Linked DNA regions of Drosophila melanogaster. The protein of the gene in region 2 interacts with the protein of the main gene of each other region in a pairwise test. Each region holds a gene or a part of one and is shown on either strand. Other genes may lie near its edges. The genes, in order: St3, CG3081, CG14464 and RhoBTB.

Region 1 (6,806 bases), on a different chromosome or scaffold from region 2:
CTAGCCACCCCATATCGAAGATGCCCCAGTCGAGCTTCTTTGCCAAGAGCGTGCCCTTCGAGCAGATCGACAAGCTGGCCATCAGTGGCGGCTACTCCTCGATCTTCGCCAGCAGCAAGCCGTCGGTGCCGGTGGTCGGGAACTGGGAGCAGCGTTTCTGCCGCCTGGCGGACACTTTCCAGCCGGTCCTGGATCGGGTGTACGACTTTGAGGTGCGGGACGACGACGTGTGGATTGTCACGCTTCCGAAATGCGGCACCACCTGGATGCAGGAGCTGGCCTGGCTGGTGATCAATGAGTGTGATTTTGAGACGGCCAAGAGCGTGGATCTCACGCATCGATCGCCCTTCCTTGAGTGCGTTCCCAAGTCATCAGCATAGCTAAGTGAAGGATACTAATCAACCAACAATCCTCTCCAGATTCAATGGCGTGGTTCCCAATGTGCCACACGACACCATCGCCGCAGCGAATGCCCTACCATCGCCGCGCCTGATCAAGTCCCATCTGCCCGCCTGGATGCTGCCGAGGCAGATCTGGAGCAAGAGGCCCAAGATCATCTATGTGTACCGCAACCCAAAGGACGCGGCCATCTCGTACTTCCACCACTGGCGTGGAATGGTGGGCTACCAGGGCACCAAGTCGGACTTTATGCACTCCTTCATCGACGGCTATGTGAACTTCACGCCCTGCTGGCCGCACATCCTGGACTTTTGGCAGCTGCGCCACGAGCCCAACATCTTCTTCACCAGCTACGAGCGGATGAAGGGCCAGCTGGGCCAGGTTATCTCGGAGGTGGCCCAGTTCCTGGAGCGCAGTGTCAGCCAGGAGCAGATGCAGCAGATGCAGCGACACCTCTCCTTCGAGAGCATGCGCGACAATCCCGCCTGCAACCACGTCAAGGAGTTCGAGAGCATGAAGGCGGCTGCCGGCAGGGAGGTGGAGGAGTTCAGGTAAGTCTTTGGATCATGTGCTCTCCAGGAGCAGGCTAATCAGACCAATCTTCCTCGCAGGTTCGTTCGACGCGGAGTCGTGGGCAGCCACAAGGATGAGCTCACCGCCGACATCATACGGGAATTCGATCTCTGGTCCGATAGTAATCTGCGGGACTTCAAATTGAACATGGATGACTTTGCCAACTACAGCAAGTTTGCGTCCACGTAATTCTCTCTAATTGTCTTCGCTAAAGTGTTTCTTGGGTAATCTTCGTTAATAGTCTTTAAGCTGTGATGATATATGTACATATATGTTTAATAAATAATTGCTTCCCGTATACTGTATGTAACTTAATTATTTTATGAGCGAATTGTTTACGTTCCCGTGGTTGGCACTCCATTATCTACTATGACCGCATTATGTGGCATATTATCATTACCAGCAGTTACAGTCTAATAAACAAGTAACATTATAAATACCATATATATGTTTATATCTAGTTTTTAAGCTACTTTCTTTGATAAAAAAATACAAAGCTTTCCGCTCATCTGACCTACTTTATTAAAAAGAAGTGCATCTACATATATCTTGGCTGGGCTTGTTTTCATTGCTATTATCAACCGAAATGAAAGATGCGTCCCATTAACTACAGTGCAATCTTATCATCGTAGTGCGAAGAGAGAACTGAGAGAGGCGAAACTGAGAAATTTCTCTTAAATAGTTACCCAACCAGTAATATACTCCACTTCATTCCCCACAAAAGCTCAGTACGCTGTCGCTATGAATCGGGTTCAGGTCACGCCGCGGAGCTATCCCACGAACCTTATCGATAAGGACTGGGGAAATCGAAAGCTTTTTTATACGAAAGATTCGGAGAACTTTCTTCGCTTAGTCCACGATATGAAGCTCAGGGATGACGATGTCTGGATCGTAACTCTACCGAAATGCGGAACCACTTGGATGCAGGAACTGCTCTGGTTGCTCCTCAACAACTGCGATTTCGAGGGGGCGTTGGCCAAGGATCAGGAGCTGCGAACTCCGTTTCTCGAGTGAGTGTATCCGTATACGTGGGCATACATATGTATATACTTAAACCTCCATGTCTTCGTCAGGTTCGGTTACTCCGTTTTTCACGACCCGAACCGCTCATTCGGGCCTATCGAGGACCTGAAGTCCCCGCGACTGATAAAATCCCACCTTTCGCTTGCCCTCCTCCCATCAAAACTTTGGGAGGGAAAAAACAAAGTGATCTATGTGTCCCGTAACCCCCTGGACTCCTATGTCTCCCGATATTATCACGGAGTATCTTTTGGTTTCAATTACGGGAAGTCACTGCACCAGTACTTCGATGAGGTGCTGGCCTCTGATGATTTCCCCACGGAGTTCATTGAACACGCCCACGAGTTCTACCAACTGAGGAACGAGCCTTGGGTATTCTACACCAGCTTTGAAATGATGAAGAAAGATCTGCGAGGAGTGATCAACGATGTCTCCAGATTTCTGAATAAACCCATCAACGATCAGCAAATGGAGAAACTGCTAAAGCATTTGTCCTTCGCGGAAATGAAGAGTATGCAAGAAGCCTATGCCGAAACAATGATCTTATTGAGCTAAACGAATTTTCTTTTCAGAAAATCCCACCACGAATCATCTGTGGGAGTTGGCCCAAGTTCAACACGAAAATGCTGGGAAAGAAATGCACCCGTAAGAGAAAGTCCCATAGTTTTCCGAACAACCATTCACTTGTAATCCTCTAGATTCGTGAGACGTGGGGATGTCAATGGCTACAAGGACGAATTGAAGCCCGAACAAATTGAGAAGGCCAATGTCCGGATACAAGAGGTTCTTGCGAAGAACGGTGTGACTTTGGACGAACTACTGCTCCTGAAAGATCAGTAAGATACATATTGAGAATAATCAAGATAATGTTGTATCTTTTGGTTTAGCTCGGAAGTAAATAACAGCGAGAGAGGAGAGCAAATAAAGCAAGGTCAAGCTGTTTGACCTACCAAACACCTTGTTCTTCAAATGTTTATCTAAAGATTCGTTTTAATTGATATAAAATATGTAGAGTCCAATATATAAGGCACACGTAGACATAAACTAACTAACACTGAAGGCGGTACAAAAGGATTGAGTCCTAGGCGGTGGAGGTCTCCACCTTCTTGGCGTTGTCCTCCTTGGAGGAGGGACCAGTCTGTGTGATCTGCACAAGGCGTTCAGTCTGCGGAGGAGGCAGCGCCTTCATTGGCGCCTTGATGGTCAGCAGGCCATCGGAGGAGAGGGACGATGTGACCGTGTCGGGGTTGACATCACCTAGTGGAAGGATCATACACGTTTAGCATACTTCCTATTTTGTTGATGGAATTCGGACTCACTTGGCAGCTGGTAGCGTCTGGAGAACTGGCGGGAGACATATCCGTGCTCGTCCTGCTTCTCCTCATGCTTTCCCTCCACGATGACGAACTTGTCGGCCACCTTGACGGTGATCTCGGATGGCGAGAACTGCTGCACATCCAGAATGACCTCGAACTTCTCGCTGTCGATGTTGAGGGTGGAACCGGACTCCTGCTTCTGCAGGCTGTTCGTGTGCCAGGGGCGCAGGTATCCCGATCGCAGCACTGTGGGGCGGGAGTTCCACACGGAGGACATGAGGTCATCCCTCTTCAGTCCCTGACCGAAGTGCTGGTCCAAGAGGCGCGAGGTGCGCATTGGAAAGTCGAGCTCATCCCACCAGTCACGGAACATCAGTGGCACTACGGACATCTGCTTTGATCAAGAAACGAGACGATAGTGAGCTAATCACTTCACTTCTTCACTGTTCAATAAATTCCGCGTTGGCTTGGTCCTTCCTCGTACCTTTTTAGATTCAATTCACTTGGATAAACGCGTCTGCTTCGATTCGCGGCTGCTGCGATTTTGATGGAGCTCCTCGAGCACTCACACGATTTTATACCCTCAACAGATTGTTTACATCTTCCCCCACGGGCTAAAAATATGAAAATTTATTTCCCATCTAAATTTAAACGAGCGTCATTCTAGAGAACATTCTGAACCTATATATGCCAAACACATATCTTTGGTGCGAATCTGCGAGCGATTTCAGCCTGTTTTGTTTGTTACCGTGGGAGTCGTGGGATTTGAAGACTCAGACTCAGCCTGTGATTACGATGATGGTGACCCAAAGAAGATTCCATTAGTCACTGCTCAGACAGGCCTTTTTCGGAGTTCAAATGATAGTGTTTCCGATTGTTTGTTCCAGAAGCAACACACATATGTATGTATGCAGAGTATTAAAAAGCAAGCCTACACAAATTCCCGCAGTTTGTATGCAAATTCTATTCTGTATAATATTTTTTCGAAAACCGAAAATCCAAAGTGCAAAATGTGTTCTGGAAAATGCCAGAAGAATTTCTCGACACTTTTACGCCCCCTTTACTCTTTAGATATATAGGAATTTTCATAATTTTCTACCTGTTGAGAGTGTTGATTTGACGCGGCTAATATAAAAATACTTTGGCCACTAAATGACTTTATGAACTATTTTAAGCATCTGCCACTTTTTCTTATTTCTCGCTTTTCCTCTGCTGAGTCATGTCGCGTGCGTTTTCTATCAGACGAAAGAGATGACGTCGCTCAAAACAAAGGAATTTTCAAGCATTGTTTTGAAAATTATACCAGCAATTTGCTTGAATTAGTAGCTCATCAATCATAAAGTTTTACTTCTTAAAATATATCATCGCGAACATATACTATATCAAAAACAAAGTGCCGCCCTCTAGTGTTCATATCTAATTTACCAGTGATGCAAGTACAAGTTCAGCTAGTTACAAACAAGTATCTTCTTTTCATTTGCTGCACCTGTTAAAATGGTACATTTTCATACAATCTCATATATGTTTTCTGTTCCTAACATTTTAGGGACTGGCCCTGTAGTGGATTGTGTACCCAACACAGCCAAACAAACAGTGAGGCAATCACCCTTCGAAATGGGCCAAAAGCACACCAACACCAGTGCAGCAGTGCATGCACTCGATGGCTGTGTGTGCGTGTGAAAGTAGTGAAAGCTGAAAGCCGAGGGCGAACGGGGCCAATACTTATGCTTATGCAAGGCAGCCGAGATGCCGAGATGCCGACGCCACCGCCCCAAAGGGAGGCCAAAAACGGAAAACAGGCGACATTCATCGCAGGACGTGAAGTGTTCACTGTACTTTGGGAGCGGAGGATAAGTCAAGACGTCAACAGAGGAAGCTGTACGATGGTGAGCTCCAAAAATAAACAAAAATCACAGGAGTGCAACTCCTAGCTCCTAAAGGTGTTCACGAGTATGCAGTGGAAAGTAGTTGTAGTAGTGCTTTCGGAGGCACTTTGGGGTTATATGTCGGATTGGGTTTCACTTTCTTCGCTGCATTACAGTTCGCCCCCCACTCGCTGCCCGTGACGTCACGACTGTTGCTTCTGGTGGTGACACTGCTCTTCTGCCCCGTGCAGGCGCATCTCTCGAAGCGAAGCTACTCGGATCAGAGTGTCCACGGCTACATGACCGAGGTGCCCCAAAGGATAACAGGTGGTACATAGTGGCAGCGAGATAACCCTTTCGTTTCCAATGCATTCTAGCGCACCTGCTGGTGGAACGAGGTGTGTAAGGAGGAGTTCCAGAGCCTCTTCCGCTGCAAGTGCCCCCAGTTCTCCTACTGCCGGTAAGTTTCCGTTTCCGGCCGAGTGCCCGGAATGCAATGCGACGGGGGAAACCGAAACCGAATTAGATTTGCTTCCCCCGATTCGGTTTTATGCAATTACTTTCGCATTTCCCAGCTCGCCGGGACGCTACTACAATGCCTACTGCTCGATGACGGATACCGGTTATATTTGGACCCAGCCGAACTGGGATTGGGGGGCGTAGGATGAAGCCGCTCCGGACTTTGCCCCCGCCACGCCCCCTCACCAACAACACAGCTCGCTGTGACGTCAAACACACTGACTGCCGACCAAACGCCTCCGCAAGCCAAACGAAAATTATTCCAGGAGGATACCCACTTGGAGCCTCCTGCTCAGCCTCCAAAAATACTCTAGTGGAGATGGGCTAGTCTCCCTCGTTGTTATCGCACCTCGCGCTGACTAAAAAGTACCAAGTGTCGCGTTACTTTTCGCACGCACTGTTTCCGCGCTGCTGTTGGAAAATCAATATAGGCTTTCCAATTCACGACGGCTTGTGGCAGGGCCACAGTGAAACCGAAACGACTAGTTCTGCACGTTTTTAAGTTACATTAAAAGAAACCATAAGATGTTAAATTTAATAATATTTATATTTATACGTTCCTAGCACTTTTTTAATAAATTTATTCGAGACTAGAGTGCAACCTTTTTGAACTGTCTTGTAAGATAAAGAAATGATCTCATTGGAATGAATTTTCCACTGGACTGACTATGTTCGATGATTTGCCCCACTGTGCAGGACCAAGGCGCAGGCGTCGCAGTGAAAGCGAAAATCGAACAGCGTGGGAGTGCGTGTGCGAGTGTGTGTGTGTGTGTGTGTCTGGAGCAGAGTCAGTTAATCTATTGCCAGCTCGACATATAGACACCGCCAACAGATGTTGGCAGTGAGGAAAATCGAGTGATAGAAGCCAGAACCGAGTCGCCGTTGTTTTGGGTGAAGAAAATCGCAGGACTTCCAGAAAATGTCGCGTCTCCTGTTCGTGGCGCTGCTAGCCATAAGCTTGGGATATGTGGCGTCCAGCAGCAGCAACCACCTGCCAGCGGGCTTGGCCATGGACCTGGGACCAGGTGTCAACCTCAACGAGCGCTTCTTCGACCAGGTGCGGGCGCTCATCAAGCGGAGGCTCCAGGAGAAGGGGCTCGCGAAGCCGGAACAG
Region 2 (4,403 bases):
CCACTCACAATACGGAATCAGCACCCAGTGGAACACCCACTGCAGCACCCATCGATCAAGGCCTCAATCAAGTGGTGACACTCGGAGCGCTCCGAGTATCGAGTTACCAGCGAAGGTCCATTTGCATTCCTTAATTGAAATTCGTACGCGTGGGAAGACCACGCAGCCTGAAAGCTTTGAATCTCCCAAAGTTGGATGTTGCTCCATGTTTTTTTTTTTTTTTGGAAGAGATGATCTTCCATTTAACAGATTTCACTTCTCATATTCATATTCAATTATGCCACATAGTAGTTCAATCCAATTCAATTGCAGGCATATTGCCGGGCTCACTTGCTCCTGTGCCCGCTTAGGGCTGGCTAATCCTTCTGATAAATGGTCCGGGCTTTGGATGAGATGCAGTGGCTCGTTTTTTAGCGCGCGCAGAGATGTTGGAAATTTTTAGAAAGGCAAACACAAACAAGGCATTAAGTGGCATTAGACAAATGCCTTTCTACACATGTTCCAGCGTAGAGATTACGCCGTGTAATTGGCCCCACCTCCATTCGCCCGGGGTGGGTTCCGGTTTTCGATTGACATTTGGCCACGGCTGCGGGGTGGGCTACTGCTCTGCTCTGCTCTGCTCCTTCTACAATTTTTTTTTTTTTTTTTGTTCTTTCTTTTTATCAATTGCCTTGTTTGCGCTGGGACCATAAATAAGGGCATTACTCGCAGGGGGCGTGCGCGTTTTCCTAACAGGTGTCTATCGACTCCTGGCTAATCCCATGCCCATGCCCATGCCCAGCTCCCTGACATCGAGTTCCTTACTTACTCGTTCGTTGCAGTTCGAAGGCCGATTCCAGTCGAAGCGTCTCAACAACTGGGAATATCCGCGATTCTCACCACCCCGCCCACGTGGTCTGCAGAAGAACGCCAAGGTTGTGGCGGCCAATAACGGTCACCTGCTGCCCGAAGTGATAAAGTAAGCAATTGCCAATGCCCCACAATTATACAGTTTAATTTTAATCCACAGGGAGGGCAACTCATTTGGCCAATATCGTGGAACCTACGAGCTACCGCGTCGAATAACCCGTGCCTTTTGCGCCCACTACGATGCCTGTCTGAGTGGGCGGTACAAGTTTGTTGACTTTCCGCGTGACCTGTGCAATTGTCAGCGAGAGAACCGCAGGGCACTGGCCTGCGATCAGCGGTTGACCTTGGGCCACAAGGACGATCCCTACTGGATGCGCGAACGGTGCCAGACGAAGTGCGAGGGACTACAGAAGCTGAGGGCGTTGAGCGAGCGGAGTGCGCGCTGCAATCGGGCCAAGTGCGACGTGGTGGTGAGTGGGAATCGGGGTCACCATCGGGGTCACCATCGGTGTCACCTCTTACCAATTATGTGCACCCAGATTATTGAGTTATCTGCAACCAAGCTATACATATTTTCATTTCTGGTTGCACTTTTTGCACTTTCATCCTGCACCCTGCACACTCACATTCACATTCACCTGCAACCGTAGAGCGAGAAAACCGTGAAGATGACGCCGAAGGCAATCAAGACGACGGGTGTGGCCACCGAAAAGCGGCGTCGAAAGCGCACCATAACCGCCTTTTCCAAAGGACGAACGGCATTGCATCCCAATGAGCTGACCAAGCCGATTCCATCGTCGGAGAAACCGGCGGCGACTGTCGCCACTCCCAAGGACAAGCCGAAGGACAAGCCAAAGGACAAGGAGGCGGGCAAGAAGGATAAGACGAAGGATAAGGGCAAGGAGAAAGAGCGCAAGGCGGCGAAGGGCCATTAGTAAAACTTCATTATTTTGTTCAACCGAAATTCAAATCAAATTCATTGTAACCGCAGGTTTAAAATACATTTTAAAGGGCAGCACGATTGCACTCAACACAAATCATATAGCATATATATTTTATAACTAAACCCAGGTTAAACCATCTGTTACATATGTACATAAATCATACATCATTATCATCTCCATCTCCATCTCCATCTTATCTCATCCCATTCCATTCTGCACCACCAACGCATTGCAACAAGTGAACGAACCTGAAAGCCACCTACTCCATTACTCCATCCAATCATGTCGCAAACAGCTCTCCCGGAACTGAGCTACACGCCGGGCGACCTAACAGAGCCGCAGTTCCGGCTGCCCTCGCACCAGGAGCTCCTCGACCAGAAACGCAACAGCACGGACAGCGTGCCACTTGGTCGTCTCACCTTGGACACGCGCGACACGCAGCCCATCAAGTACAGGGAGCAGCTGGGCTCGGCGGCCGGTCGTCAATTTCCGGCATTGGCAGCGGCCCAAAATCGCTATACGGATCACTTGGAGCGCAGCAGCGAGTTGAGCTTTGCGTGCCTGGAGCCGGGCAAGGATCTAATCTCATTGCCGACGGTGGGTATACGAAGCTTTGATCTCGATCCCGTATCCGTATCCGAACCCGATTTGATCAAGAAGATGCCGCTGCACTCGATCACGGAGAAGCCCAACGAGCGGTGTCCATCGCCAGTGGTGCCGGCATATGCCAATTTCGAGCTGGCCAAACGGATGCACCAGGACAATTTGGACCACCAGCCGCTGCCCGATTGCGTCGCCGATTTGGCATTCCGGCGAGCGCAAATATCCGGCGGACATGCTGGCCTGGCCCTGGAAATCGATCCCATTGCCACGGGCGTGGGTGTGAAAACGCACAATGCTGGTCCGACGCACTGCACCAAGATGAAGGTCTTTCGTCCGAAGACCGGCGGTGGCATCGTGCCACGTGCCCTCGGCAATGGCGATGCCTTTCGAGGTGTTGGCTCCGCTCCGGCCAAAAAGATGGGACCCATGGATTTGGCCATTTGTTGGGACTTCAAGCCGGCGAATCCATCGGATGAGCCGCGCCTGGCCAGGCACATAGATGGCTCCAATGACTCCGCTGGACCGGCTGTCTTCACCTGCGTGAAAACGCCTCGCGAGGAACAGTCCTCGGACTTGGGCCGATCGGCTGGCGTCTTCACCAGCACGCTTGGTGAGGCCGATTTCTTCGACAAGGACATCCTGAGGAAGCGAACGGATTTTGGCGGTGCCCGTGTGGATCGCGAGGATCCGTGCGCCTGCGACTACTCGCCACCGGCCAGACAAAGAGCACGCAGTGTCTCCCGCGATTCCAGTGCATCGCATTGCAGGCGAGGATCGGGCATCGGCGGTCCAACTGGCGGTGTGAGTTTCGGCAATTTGGCGGAGCTACCCGGTCGCGGGATGCCCGATCGTCTAGCCAAGCAGTATCAATCGTCACCCCTGCTGGGCGACAAAGCCTACCAGGCTTTGAGGGAGAAATATTTGGGTCCGGACTCTGGACAGGATTGCAGGGCCATGGATTGCCGGCCAACGGGTGGTCCACCATGCAAGCGAGACGTTCTCCTCCGGCGTCCAGCTCGACGTCTCTGCCACAAGGTGGCTCCAGCTCCCAGATGCTGTCCCCCATCGTTCGGCGGACATGGTCATCACCATGGACATGGACACGGACACGGACATTGCTTGACCAGTAAGGCGGCATTTCGCGCCGGAGTGCCCAAGCATAATGCCTCCGGTGATTTCGTGGGAATAGAACCGGGCTGCGGAGGAGGTGGCGGTGGCGGTGGTAGGGTTCTGGTGGTGCCACGCCCCCGGCAGCCGTATGCCAAAAAGAATTACGACATCGAAACCCTGGTGCCGCCCTTCCAAAGCCAAGCGGGCGGAGCGGGTCAGGGCGGCTATCCAGAGCACTGGCGATTGGCCAGTGTCTATCAGCACGCCTACAAGCCCATCGACCAGCGGCGGCGACCCCTTCTCCAAACTGTCTACAAGTAGGTGTGCTCCAGGATGGCAGTCCGCTCAAGAGAGAAATGTCCGGACAAACGGGATAATGAATAATTGAAAGCTATACAAAAATGTCCATAAGCTAAGCAAGTATATTAACTTATCAACTTAAATGTTTGCTAGTCATTAGCATTAAATTGATGCATCTGTACACACAAATTAGTCGGAAAAATCGGTCCAAGAATAGGAAATCACACGTTTATGTATAAAAAAACAAATGTTATATATATTAGAAAGCATATATATATATATATATAAAGATATATGGGCAAACATACATACATACATATATGAATAAACGTGCAAACATCAAGTAACTTAAAACTATAAACAGTGTGCAAATTAATTTGCAGAGTTCGCTTGAAAAATTAAGAAAAAAAACTTGATTAAAAACTAGGTGATGATGTGGTTTTCAGATGAAATAAGGTTTCCTTTCCTTTTTTCGCTGGTCTTGTGTGACAATCTTTGGGTGCAATTAAAAACTTAACTAGGTGCTGAAAAATCGAATTGAAAAGAAGTCAATTGGGTCAATTCAACAAGGGGAAGGCGCATTTCAAAAATAATAAC
Region 3 (3,828 bases), on a different chromosome or scaffold from region 2:
GACAATTTAGAGATTTCACTGTAATTCCTTGAATCCAATTGGTTACCTTTTTAATGGAGAGGAATCACAATAAATAGACAGGCTTAACTCGTTAAAGATCGTAGAGCAGTTAGCATTCGTTTAGAATGGGACACTTACATTTGGCACCGTTTAAGAGTATGGATGTTCGGAATGAGGTAACTTGGAACACTTCGTTTGAAAAAACTTTTCAAATGCCTGATCCGATGGTACCGTGGTATTTAAAAAAAATAGCGAGAACGGTTAGAAATTGTTTCGCGAACTGGAACGTACAGTACATTAGTTAATCTAACACTGAGCATTGAGCACAGTAAAATTTTACCGATTTTAAAAGGATAGACCGTTATTTTTAAATTTTGTATGAAGGCTGAACTTTACATTTCTTAGGTCTGTCAATTCTTTCGTAAACTAAAGAGTCTTGTGAGAGATGGACGGAAAGTAAATCGGAACACAAGAGCTTAAAATCAAGAGGGAATGCTATACTCGAGTTCCCCGACCATCAGATACCCGTTATTCAGCTAGTGCGTAAAAGTGTTTTTGCAAATAGATTAGATTTACAAGTATAATAAAAATGTGAAAAAATATCAACACATTTTTCAAAAGTATGGGTGTGACAGTTTGGTTCAGTTTGAGGCATTAGTCTTGCGAAAACAATGAATTCTTTTGGTTTGCTGCTCTGATTTCTCTTTTATTATGGTATTATGTCGATTGTCATCTCGAAATTATGATGATATTGATCTTTCGGTTCCGGACAAAAAAAACATTTTCAGTACATGTTACAAGACATAGGATCCAATAATCGACCAATAGAAAAAGACTTCTTAAATTATGAAAAAAATCCAACTATTTTTCAAAAATGTCGGCGAAATTAGAAAATTACAAGACTAATTAAATTTAAACAAACGCGGCACTGTATACAAAATTATAAAAAATTTAAAAATTTGGGCGTGGCAGTTTTGGTCTGTTTTAGGGAGTTTGAGTGCATAAATATTTTCAGCATAAACATATTTGGCCAATCCATTGAAAATTACAAGACTTATAAAATTATGAAGAAATATCCCAAAAAATGTGCAGGTGGCAGTTTTCGGGAGGTTTAAGGGCTTCAGAGTGGGCGCGGCAATAAGTTTTTTGGCAAATCAATAGAAATTAATAAAAATGTAAATAAATATCAAAGCATTTTGCAAAAGTGTAGGCGTGGCAGTTTTGAGCTGTTAATGGGCGTTGGAGTGGCAACAAACTTTGCGCTGAGTCTATGTCTCTAGAATCTATATTCTTAATCTCAACTTTCTACCTTTTATAGCGCCTGAAATCAAGACGTTCATCGGCAGACGGACATGCCCATCTCGAATCGACTTCAATAGAATATATGTACATATGTATGTACAATATATACTCTAAATGGTCGGAAACGCTTCCTTGTGCCTGTTACAAGCTTTTAGTAAATCTAGGATATCCTTCTACTTTACGAGTAACGGGTATAAAAATTAAGGACACAGTCGCATGTAGTTTAAATGGTTGGTTTGGTATTTTGATATGCTTGGTACGTTTGCTGATATAATTAATTGATTTCTGTTGCTTCAGGTATCCCCGAATGCTGTTCCTAAAACAACCTCAATATATGATGCGATTCCTATTACTTAAAATACTTATTTACTTCAAATAATCTGATATCAATTTTTGAATAACGTTCTTTGCCCTTATAAAGTTTTTAATTAAATTAATATTTTTCAAACAAAATAGATTTTGGTTATTCAAAAAAATATGATTGCGCAGTTATCTTAATGTCCAGTTAAATGTTGAGGCAGAATAATCTAACGAATATACTGTAATTATAATTGATTAAGTCAGTGACATAACGTGGCATAATCAGAAGCACAAGTGCAGTGTAAAGACCCTATAAATAATAATATGGCAGTGTGTGCACACTATTAGTGGACACCAATAGCGTGGGTTAAATTGATTTTTGAAAGGAGGCCATGCACTTTAGTATAACAAATTCTCGCCAAGATATGAAGCCGTATTTAGATTCAGATTATTCCATCAGTCGCAATTTGCGTCAGAGACATAGAAAAAAAGGAGTTTCTAACGAATACTCAAATTATTTAGATTCCGAAAATAAAAAAAAAGGCAGAAAGAAATGTCAAAATAGCGCATATGATGAATACGGAAATATTCGCTCAAACGGTCTGGACATATGTAAGTACAAATCACTCCTTACGTGGTTGTTATTAATAAAACACGTAATTCAGGCGACTGTATGAATCAAGAATGTGATGGTTGCTGGTATAATTGCCGAAGTTGTGGCTCTACCAGGTGTGGTCCCCAATGTCGCTCGAATCGAAAGTTTTTTTATGAGGACATAACATATGACGGTAAAGATTTAAATATTCAAAATAAATATATACCAAGATAAAGTTAAGCAAATCACATGTATTAATTAAATATTTGTAACTTAATATAAGTATTAATGAACAGCCAAACGAGCATTAAACTATCATTCAGACGAAATACATCACATATAACAATTCTTAACAAAGTTATTGCTTCAGAAAAATACATTATGTGCTAATTGAAAGGAAATGATTCCAAAAATAAAGTAAATTCTTCAGCAGCTATGGTGAAGACTTATTGTACTTGTACTTATTTTGCGTGCTTTATCAATTGTTATACACTTTTATTATTGCTACCGTATAAGTATAAGTACATTTTTGATGGTATAATAATTAGTCGACTGTAAAAACAGTTATACAAAGGTGAAAGATCAAAATAGGGCGGTTCGATTCGCGAAATGGTGCGAGATTGTCCTCTGCATAGGACCGCTTGCAAGAGATAGTAGAATAGTACGTCGTGCCAAAGGTGCTGATAACCGAACACGGAGTTAAGTTAATAAGCAAGGCGTTCAAGAGCTTCAAGCGTATAGGAGCTGGGGAGCGACACAATCTAACGGCTTCATACAACCCACAGGAGAACCCGACGAAAAGCGCCAATAGTACCGTGATGAAATTAAGGGAAATGTGCACGCTGGTCCGGTGAAGTATAAAATCTCACCGTCACCGGTGAACAAAAGACACTAGAATAACAAGATGCGTAACGCCATACGATTTTTTGGCACACGATTTTTTCGCCGTGGCTCTAGAGGTGGCTCCAGGCTCTCTCGAATTTTTGTTCGAGAGCGAGAGAGCGCATACAGGGATAGCAGACAACTGTATGTGTGCACACATATGCTCATGCATTGTAAATTTGACAAAATATGCCCTTCACCTTCAAAGTTCTTTGACTTTAAATCTATATTATTTTTGATCAATTGGCACCATGCGAAAAATTCTTGTTTTGCATTGCCTTAACGTTATTATTATTTGAAAATAGAATAGAAATAGCCAAATCTATGTACATATTATCACAAAAATAAATTTCAAAAATGACTTTATGTAAGAATATTGGTCATTAGAGTATTCATCTTGAGGCGTGTGAAAAATTAATAAGGCAATGATTGTTGAATGCTTGTGTCCGCACTTCGTGCCTCAAGATATGACCAAAACAAAGACACTAGAATAATTCTAGTGTCTTTGATGTGACTTGTTGTTGCGATAAATGCAGATCGGTAATTTTAAAAGAAATCGAGCATTTAACAGCTCCATCAGAGCTTTTTATACATGAGAAAAACTACTCAATAGAATCCGACTTTGGGAAATTAAAGGCACCATCTGATTTATTTTTTAATATTTGCAAAATACACATTAAAGCTTTCGAAAATATTTTTAAAAATAATAAAAAACAAATGTGTATAAAAAAATTTATTGTTGAGCAATG
Region 4 (8,011 bases), on a different chromosome or scaffold from region 2:
CATACATACATGTCTTAGGTAAAGGTACAAATATATGGATATACACATGTCTGCGTCCTTCGGCTGTCCACATTCCATGGGAGGGATCGTGCAGAACAAGTTGAGTGTACACCGATATATCGTAAGGCAATACAGCGAAATGCTTCGCAGCGCCGAGGTGCATGTGCATACATACTCGTCTATGCTTTGCGTTTTATATAGGCGTATAAATATAAGAAATCCGAAGCACTCTGCAGTATGCTCCCTTGTTCTGGGTCGAGCTACGTTGGACTTATTAATCGTTAATCACTAAGGCAAATTTGCGCTCTATATATTGCGTAATGTCAAAAGCAGACGCGCCACGCCCCCTCCATTTCCAACCCTTATCTCCCCGACCACTCTAAATCGTGCCCTTGAGGTTTGTTATGTATGGATTTGGAAAAGTATCAAAATACTTAAAATCGTACAGATAAAACAGATCAGGACCGGCAGGATCACAATGAAGCGCAGTGATCTGGAATCAAAGTATCGAAGTAAATCATAAATATCGAAGAATCCTTACTTTGACATTAATATCAACACACCTTCCTTGCCCTAGGGCTGGGTGTCAGAGATTCAGGTCCATGTCCGCCTCCAGATCAATGTGGTTGAGCGAGTTGCCGGCGCTGTTGAAGATCTGATTATCTGCGTTGCTGTTATCCGTGGTTCCACTCACATCAGCGCTTCGCTTCGATTTACCTAACAGCCAGCAAGAGAATACTTTGACCAAATTTCGGACATTAATATTATGATGATGGCGTTGTCGTTGTAAATGAGCAAGGAAATCAACAGGAAAGGAAAACAATAACGAGACACCTAGCTACGAATACAAACCGCCGTCATGATACATACATTGTCCTCTAAAGCTAGCTGAAACTAAAACCTGAGCTGATCCTCCGACTGGAGTATTGGACTGGGATGTTAAGTGTGGTGGGATGTGGAGCAGATAGTTCCGTAAATGTAGCAACACTTACCGCCCGTAAAGCACAGACAGCCCTCGTCATCGCTAGGCGATTCCCGCCTCGAAGTCTTTAGCTTAAGCTCCTTGTTCAGCTCGTTCAGGCATCGCTGATAGTAATCATAGTCTTTCAGATACCAGACTGGAGGCCATCGGTGCTCGCGCAAGTACTCCTGATTATCCTGGTGTAGCGCCTTTAGGCCCTTGAGTGAAAACTTACAAATAAGGTTGTAATTGACGCACAGGTATGACATGCACCACTCGGCCAATTGATGTGCGTTGTGCAGCTGAAAAAAAAAGAAAAGTATTGAATTTCGGTATATCATTTTTAACTGATCTCTCTATGTGTACCTTCACTGGCTCGAGCAGCTTTAGACAGTGATCCACCGTTTCATTGGTTTCGTTCTGAGAAATCAGAGTGAGATCTTCAATAACGCGGCATTCAACCAGGTTGAGCAGCCGCGGCAGGCAGAGTCTATTGGCCAGCTCCAGCAGATTGAGGCACTTGACGGCCGAGATTGGCGGAATCTGGTCTGTGTACAAATAGCACAGCAGCTTGTGGAATGTGTAAATGGTAACGCCAGGGAATACGATCTAAGGTAAAGGAAATTTATGACAACTGTCCTTAGTTAAGGGGTATTGTGCCCGTTCCTACCACATTGGAATGAGCCTCGCGAAAGTCGCCTAACAACATTGCGCGCATGACATCACAACGACCAACCAACACAGCGCGGTGTGCCTGCAATGCAGCAAAGGTAAGTGTAAACGATTGTGCTTCATATAGTAATTCAACAGACATATGTATGTACCTTCATTAAGCCATCGTCCAATTCAAAGGTGACATCACTGAAGCACCCGTCACCAATGCAATGCCGTTCCATGCTTTCTTTGATGCGCTAATGTATGTAACAGAAAATGGTTAGGATCATAAAATAGATATCATGACATCAATGCGCTCACCAGGCAAATGTGCGGATTTGGCTCATCGCTGGAGTTCTCCATAACGGTTTGAGGCCTGGAAAGTAGCTGAGTCAGTTGCGGCAGTTCTAATAGATCGGCAGCTTCTCGAATTTCCTGTGAGAATTAACAATATATTAGTAGGTCAAACTTAACACAGAATACATTGAAACATTTCCTACCTCGATATTATCGCAATCCTTGTCAATGGTACCGGTATAAATAAATCTCAGGCACTGGTGCAGAGCTTGCGGAGAGATAAGTTTGCTAAGGGTGACAATCGTCTGCAGACCATTTACACCCCGATGGTTTTCCACGTGCACCAGGCGAATGCTCTGCAGGACCGGATGATGCAGCTCCCTGTACAAATCGTTGGACCGCTTAGACTCCATGAGAGGCAACGCCTGGTAGCTGGAGCGGCGCTTCAAGTGTTCCCACATTCTGTGGGTGCAAAATGTATTCAAAGTCAAATGGGCTCAATGCAATCGGGAGGCAGCACCCACCGTTGTGTGCGTGATTCGTAGCGGATCAGGGCCTCCGTGTCATCGTTAAAGTCCGCAATGGTGGCCTCCCCGAATGTTGAGCTGACCATGCTAGATTCGCTGCTGCTCCGCCCGCCCATATCAGTCAGCTCAGTGCTAAGCAGGCGCTGGAAGATGCTGGACGCGGCGGCTAGCATGAACCTGTGCACGGCGAACTTGGTGCCACCCGCCCCGACCAGGACGAGGTCGGTGTAGGCCTGCGACAGGAACATGTTGTAGATGTCCTGCCGATAGTTGCCGACCATGACGGTGACCTCCGGTGGTGGTGGCTTCGGTGGCCGGAACGGCGCCTGCAGCAGGGGCTTCTGCACCTTCTTCAGGTTTGTCATCCAGAAGCGCTGCTGTCGGCGTGCAATCAACGCGGATCGGATGGCGTTTTCAAACACCTCGTTCACCCCAAAGTATGTGAAAACACTGGTCTCGTAGTACGCCACTCCTAGCTCTTTGGCGACGGCACGCGCCTCATCCGGCATAACCAGGTCACTCTTCAACGCGGCTCTTTAAAAAAAGATTATAGTAATGATTGCCTTTAATTTAATCCAATTAAATAGAATATCTCTGAACATATAAACAGATTAATTTGCTATAGTGGGCTAAACATTGAATTATATCTTTCGTGTGTTCTAAATATAATTAAATTATGGTGAATAATTGAATTGATTTGATTAAAGAACAACATTAAAAAGTGAAAGCCACTCAAAACCGGCTGAAACCTGCTAGCTATGCATACCGAACAAAGGTTCCCTTCTCGCCGAAATACGAGAGATAGTTCTCGTCGCGATACATGTAGCGCAGGTCGTTCTTGCAGCCAACTAGAATGACGGGAACATCCGGACAAAAGCGGCGAATTTCCGGATACCACATCATCTTGCAGTTGCGCAGGGAAATCGGACTGGCAATGGAAAAGCACAGCAGCACCACATCGGATCTGTAGGTCAAGAAGGCATCTTATTGATTCGTATGGCGAAAATGCTGCTACATGAGCTCTACACACCTGCCGTATGCGAAGCGCCGATCCTTGTCGTGGTCACCAAATGTGTCCCATAGGCGAAGTGAGACATTCACTCCATCGACCACCTCCCATGATCGCTCGAGTACCTTTAATGTATATGGATTCGGTTAAATGCAATAACTATGACTCTTGAGAGAATGGTAACCCACATCCTTATATATGCGATACTGGTCAATGGCCCACACGGTCGGCACGTGCGTAGAGAGGAGCTGAGATAGCGAGACGTGTTTGTTGCAGGCCCTCGCGCAGATCAGTCGCGTCTTGCCCACGGCCGTGTCCCCCACCAGGACGCACTTCACTAGCTCTTGATGCGGCTGCTCGTTGTCCATTTTGGGCATGCACAAATAGCAGAACCAGCTTATGGAATCTGAAATGAAAATAGTATTGGATTTTTGTGTGATTTAATAAAATGTGGTCTCTCCTGAGGAAAACATACATAAATGAAAATATTGAAAATAAAATAAACTGCTGACACCCCTTCTAATATAAATAAGTGAACTACGTAGAATAGCTGCCTTAATGTTTTTCAGTTCTGATAAGCAGATGCTAAATTCTCGACTAACAATCGACCTGCTAATTACTAAGTTACACAAAGTGTCGTCTGCATTAACGTTTTGTGTGAAGGCAAAATGGTTTCATCACGTGATTAATTTGATTTTAATCTAGATACCTAAGTGCTTCCCAAAATAGAAATACATAGTTTGAAATAATCTACGCACTGGGAAAATTCACTTCTACGTTCAGTTATACGTAAAGCCAGAATAACTGATCTACGCCAATAGGCAATTTTGTTTGTTTACTCGCTGCGCACTGTGAAAATAACTATAGTGAAATCAGATACCAGCTTCGTATCATTTACTTAGAAATCTATTGGATCCCGCAAACGGAGGCTATAAAACCAGCCAATTCATTGACCCCCACTTGATCCACTTGTCGCGGAGGAAGTTGGAGTAAGTACCTCGGATACGGAGCGATAAGCTCGCTCTCTCTCTTTGAACCTCTAATTGAACTTAATTGGGCTGCACTAAAAATATATCTGCCTTCAATCCTCCGGTCGCAATGAGCACACTTCTTCCTGCGTGGCCCACGCTTCATGGCAATCCATTGTCCGATCTTCTCGACGAGCTGCAGTCTGTCTATTTTGGGACGCGCTTTAAACCCAAAACAATAACCATGCAATTGAAAGTACTTCAAGTGGTCGCCAGAAGCGATCGTTGTTCTCCACAGGAAAGTCTTTTGTTCGTGCGAAGACTTTAAGTTACTGTCAATATTGTGGATCGTTGACCTCTGGAATACATGGCAATCGGTTCCACTTTTGCTTTGATTTTCTATAATTTATGTGTTCAATCTATTTAGAGCCATTTGAATTGACTTTATGAAGGTTAAAGAGGGAAGAATATTCTTCAAATATTGAAAAATTAATGTCTGATATAACTACTATAAAATACCGTTTTTATTTTTATTATTTCCTTGTAGAAATATTTTTAAAATATATTATTTAAGTGCCCAGTCTTAAGCAAAGTGAAGCAAAAACAAAGAAACAAAGAAAGAAGACGTTGTGAAGGTAAACAACTGTTAGTTTTTGAAGATATCAGGTATTTTGAAAATGGAAAGATCGTATTTTTTAGTTTTTAAAAGGTATGTTCTTAGTTTTCATTGTAAAATATTTGCACCAACCATAATCTTGGGAAATAAAAACAAAGTTTATTTAGGGACTGGTTCCAATTTATTTCTCATGCGAGGTGTGAACCTGTGGTTTAATTAGACATTTTGATTCGCGAGAATTCGCAGAACACGCCAGCATATTAGCATTATTAACAAACTCTGCGCTGTTTTGCCATGTCTGGGAAGTCTCCTTTCTTCAATTTTGCCAGCTTATTGATTTTCTCGTGCCATTGCAAAACGGCCACAAATACCGTTACCAAACCACACACACATTCAGACTCGCACACAAGGAGGCACAGAAGGGACTTTTAGGAGGGGATCTTGAAGTTCGGACTCGACATTCCGGCAAACTTGACCCATTTAGGGGAGAAAAATCGTTGAACACTTGCACTTTTTCTCGAGGAAAACGCATGTTGGTGGGTAAACAATTAAAACCTGATTAGAACCTAATTCTTCGACTGCTGGCCGAAGGGGAGAGCACAGAATTCCCGAACTCATAAATCTCCGCGGACGTAGCACTGCAGCACTCACCTCTGAAAACGCCTGATCCCACGGATTGCACGAATTGCACGGATTTGCCTCAATGTTCTTACTTTTGCGTATTGCACTTATCAACACGCACACCAAAGCACGGCATTTTACAACAATTTGCATTTATTTCTGCACCCACACACCGATGGCGACGCAGTTTGTGGTTCGCAAACACGCGAAATCTTTACGGCTGGCACAAGTTTAACATCGCTGCGAGCTGGTTGCCGACGGATGGCTGCGGATGAGCCAGTGCTCGCTGACCAGGTGCACTATAAATGAAATTAAAAAATAATAAATTGCAGTTACAGCCCGCAATTCTTCTACGCGCTTTGACGGCAACCGGCCAGTGTTGGAAAACGGCGGCGGTTGGGCGCGGAGCACTGCCAGATTGACGGAGAACGGGAATTCACGGAATATTTATTTTTATAATGACTGTTATCAGGGTTGCCCAATATTTATTGTATGGTCGTTGGAAAAATTTCAAGCATTTGAAATACATTTTGAAATCGCCATCTATCCTAGGTAAGGTGAATATGCAGCTTACTTTAGTCCAAAGTTACATTAGAACTATTAAAAATCATCACTTTAAACTTATTAAGTCTTTCGTATTTGAAAATATGGCCTACCACTTTGTAAAATTTCTCCAATTGGGAATTTCAAATCTGGAACCACTCACAAAATAAACGATCTGGCAACATATTAAACTAGTTCTGCGTGCGCGGTGAGTTGGCAGCTCTGCGAACAGATGATTGTTTGCTATTTTAGTTGTTGCGAAACTAGTTAGAATTTATTTTTCGGTCCAAAAAGCGATTAAAATTGATTGAACGTGTAACCGACCGGCTTGGAAATCTACTCCTCCCACTCTAAGATTTCTTGTGCGCGCTACGTAAAGCCGGAGTAGCGTCGTCAAGAGTATTTCACAAACTCAATGTATCTTACGTGCAGAAAATCGATTTTTGCCTTAACAGCGGTTTTTGGTCGACGGTTGGCAGCAATTAAACAAATTTCCGCTAACGGGCACCACTAAATCGCATTTATTTCGCACAGGTCAAGTGCGTTGAGGGCCAGCATTTCAGTAACACATCGAACGATTGGCACGCTTATAAAACCCAAGATGACAATAGCCGAAAGCTCGCAAAAGTCCGCAACTAGGAAGCCAGACAGCATGGAGCCCATATTGAGGTAAGTGCACGTTACGCATCTTAGAGGTCGTCGAAAGGCAATGGTTCGTCGTTTATAGGCTGAACAACATTGAAAAGTCGCTGCAGGACACACGCGACTACCGCGGATTGCAACTAGAAAATGGACTAAAGGTCCTGCTCATCAGCGATCCCAACACAGATGTCTCGGCGGCAGCGCTGTCCGTGCAAGTGGGGTAAATAAGATCAAATCTTCACTCAATGTTTGTTTTTAATGAGTATACCCATGGCAGCCACATGTCTGATCCCACGAACCTGCCTGGATTGGCCCACTTTTGCGAGCACATGCTGTTCCTCGGCACCGAGAAGTATCCGCATGAGAATGGCTACACCACATACCTTTCGCAGAGCGGCGGAAGCAGCAACGCCGCCACCTATCCCCTGATGACCAAGTACCACTTTCACGTGGCGCCGGACAAGTTAGATGGAGCCTTAGATCGCTTCGCGCAGTTCTTCATAGCCCCCTTGTTCACGCCCAGTGCAACTGAGCGGGAAATCAATGCGGTATGTGAAAGCATTCATTAAAATTTCTGACAGAAATAGGACGCTGTCATTGCAGGTAAACTCTGAGCACGAGAAAAACCTGCCCAGCGATCTGTGGCGCATCAAGCAGGTGAACCGCCACCTGGCAAAGCCTGACCATGCCTACAGCAAGTTCGGCAGCGGCAACAAGACCACCCTATCCGAAATACCCAAGTCCAAGAACATTGATGTGCGGGATGAGCTGCTAAAGTTTCACAAGCAGTGGTACTCCGCCAACATAATGTGCCTGGCTGTCATTGGAAAAGGTTTGTTTTAGTATAGCCGTTTCTGCCAGCAAGTAATCAATCTCTGACAGAATCGCTGGACGAACTGGAGGGCATGGTATTGGAGAAGTTCTCCGAAATAGAGAACAAAAACGTCAAGGTTCCAGGTTGGCCACGCCACCCCTACGCCGAGGAGCGCTATGGACAAAAGGTGAAAATAGTGCCTATCAAAGACATCCGATCGCTGACGATAAGCTTTACCACAGACGATTTGACGCAGTTCTACAAGTCAGGCGTAAGTTTAAGGTACCACTGCGCTGTGGCTACGGATCAATCAGAGGATTCCTTTCTGGCCAGCCCACTGAACCTCTTGTTTAATTATA

The links.
Region 1: the proteins of CG3081 (region 2) and St3 interact in a two-hybrid assay, tested with the Drosophila melanogaster proteins (one large-scale study listed by BioGRID).
Region 3: the proteins of CG3081 (region 2) and CG14464 interact in a two-hybrid assay, tested with the Drosophila melanogaster proteins (one large-scale study listed by BioGRID).
Region 4: the proteins of CG3081 (region 2) and RhoBTB interact in a two-hybrid assay, tested with the Drosophila melanogaster proteins (one large-scale study listed by BioGRID).

The regions. Positions count from the first base shown.
Region 1 is NT_033778.4:23,681,684-23,688,489, forward strand, and holds St3 (sulfotransferase 3), read left to right. Parts: upstream 1-1,693; 5' UTR 1,694-1,713; coding exon 1,714-1,982; intron 1,983-2,045; coding exon 2,046-2,503; intron 2,504-2,564; coding exon 2,565-2,637; intron 2,638-2,690; coding exon 2,691-2,828; coding exon of another isoform or gene 2,829-2,832; exon of another isoform or gene 2,833-2,879; coding exon of another isoform or gene 2,880-2,937; exon of another isoform or gene 2,938-3,073; coding exon of another isoform or gene 3,074-3,249; intron 3,250-3,311; coding exon of another isoform or gene 3,312-3,699; exon of another isoform or gene 3,700-3,702; intron 3,703-3,792; exon of another isoform or gene 3,793-3,860; intron 3,861-4,854; coding exon 4,855-5,194; intron 5,195-5,349; coding exon 5,350-5,481; intron 5,482-5,550; coding exon 5,551-5,633; intron 5,634-5,748; coding exon 5,749-5,836; 3' UTR 5,837-6,297; downstream 6,298-6,806. Other genes in the region: St1 (sulfotransferase 1), read left to right, coding at 21-355, 420-950, 1,011-1,161; l(2)efl (lethal (2) essential for life), read right to left, coding at 3,074-3,249, 3,312-3,699; Pal2 (Peptidyl-alpha-hydroxyglycine-alpha-amidating lyase 2), read left to right, coding at 6,612-6,806.
Region 2 is NC_004354.4:4,638,749-4,643,151, reverse strand, and holds CG3081 (uncharacterized protein), read left to right. Parts: upstream 1-1,989; 5' UTR 1,990-2,075; coding exon 2,076-3,827; 3' UTR 3,828-3,893; downstream 3,894-4,403. Other genes in the region: CG3062 (uncharacterized protein), read left to right, coding at 822-958, 1,010-1,319, 1,500-1,784.
Region 3 is NT_033778.4:4,827,280-4,831,107, forward strand, and holds CG14464 (uncharacterized protein), read left to right. Parts: upstream 1-1,966; 5' UTR 1,967-2,027; coding exon 2,028-2,214; intron 2,215-2,267; coding exon 2,268-2,431; 3' UTR 2,432-3,308; downstream 3,309-3,828.
Region 4 is NT_037436.4:20,374,274-20,382,284, reverse strand, and holds the start of RhoBTB (Rho-related BTB domain containing), read right to left. Parts: upstream 6,044-8,011; 5' UTR 5,684-6,043; intron 4,544-5,683; exon of another isoform or gene 4,446-4,543; intron 3,855-4,445; 5' UTR 3,826-3,854; coding exon 3,637-3,825; intron 3,574-3,636; coding exon 3,470-3,573; intron 3,404-3,469; coding exon 3,206-3,403; intron 2,974-3,205; coding exon 2,437-2,973; intron 2,375-2,436; coding exon 2,116-2,374; intron 2,051-2,115; coding exon 1,937-2,050; intron 1,873-1,936; coding exon 1,786-1,872; intron 1,716-1,785; coding exon 1,632-1,715; intron 1,571-1,631; coding exon 1,328-1,570; intron 1,264-1,327; coding exon 993-1,263; intron 739-992; coding exon 587-738; coding exon of another isoform or gene 564-586; intron 494-563; coding exon of another isoform or gene 403-493; 3' UTR 1-402. Other genes in the region: Ide (insulin degrading metalloproteinase), read left to right, coding at 6,798-6,865, 6,924-7,058, 7,116-7,386, 7,442-7,670, 7,721-7,923.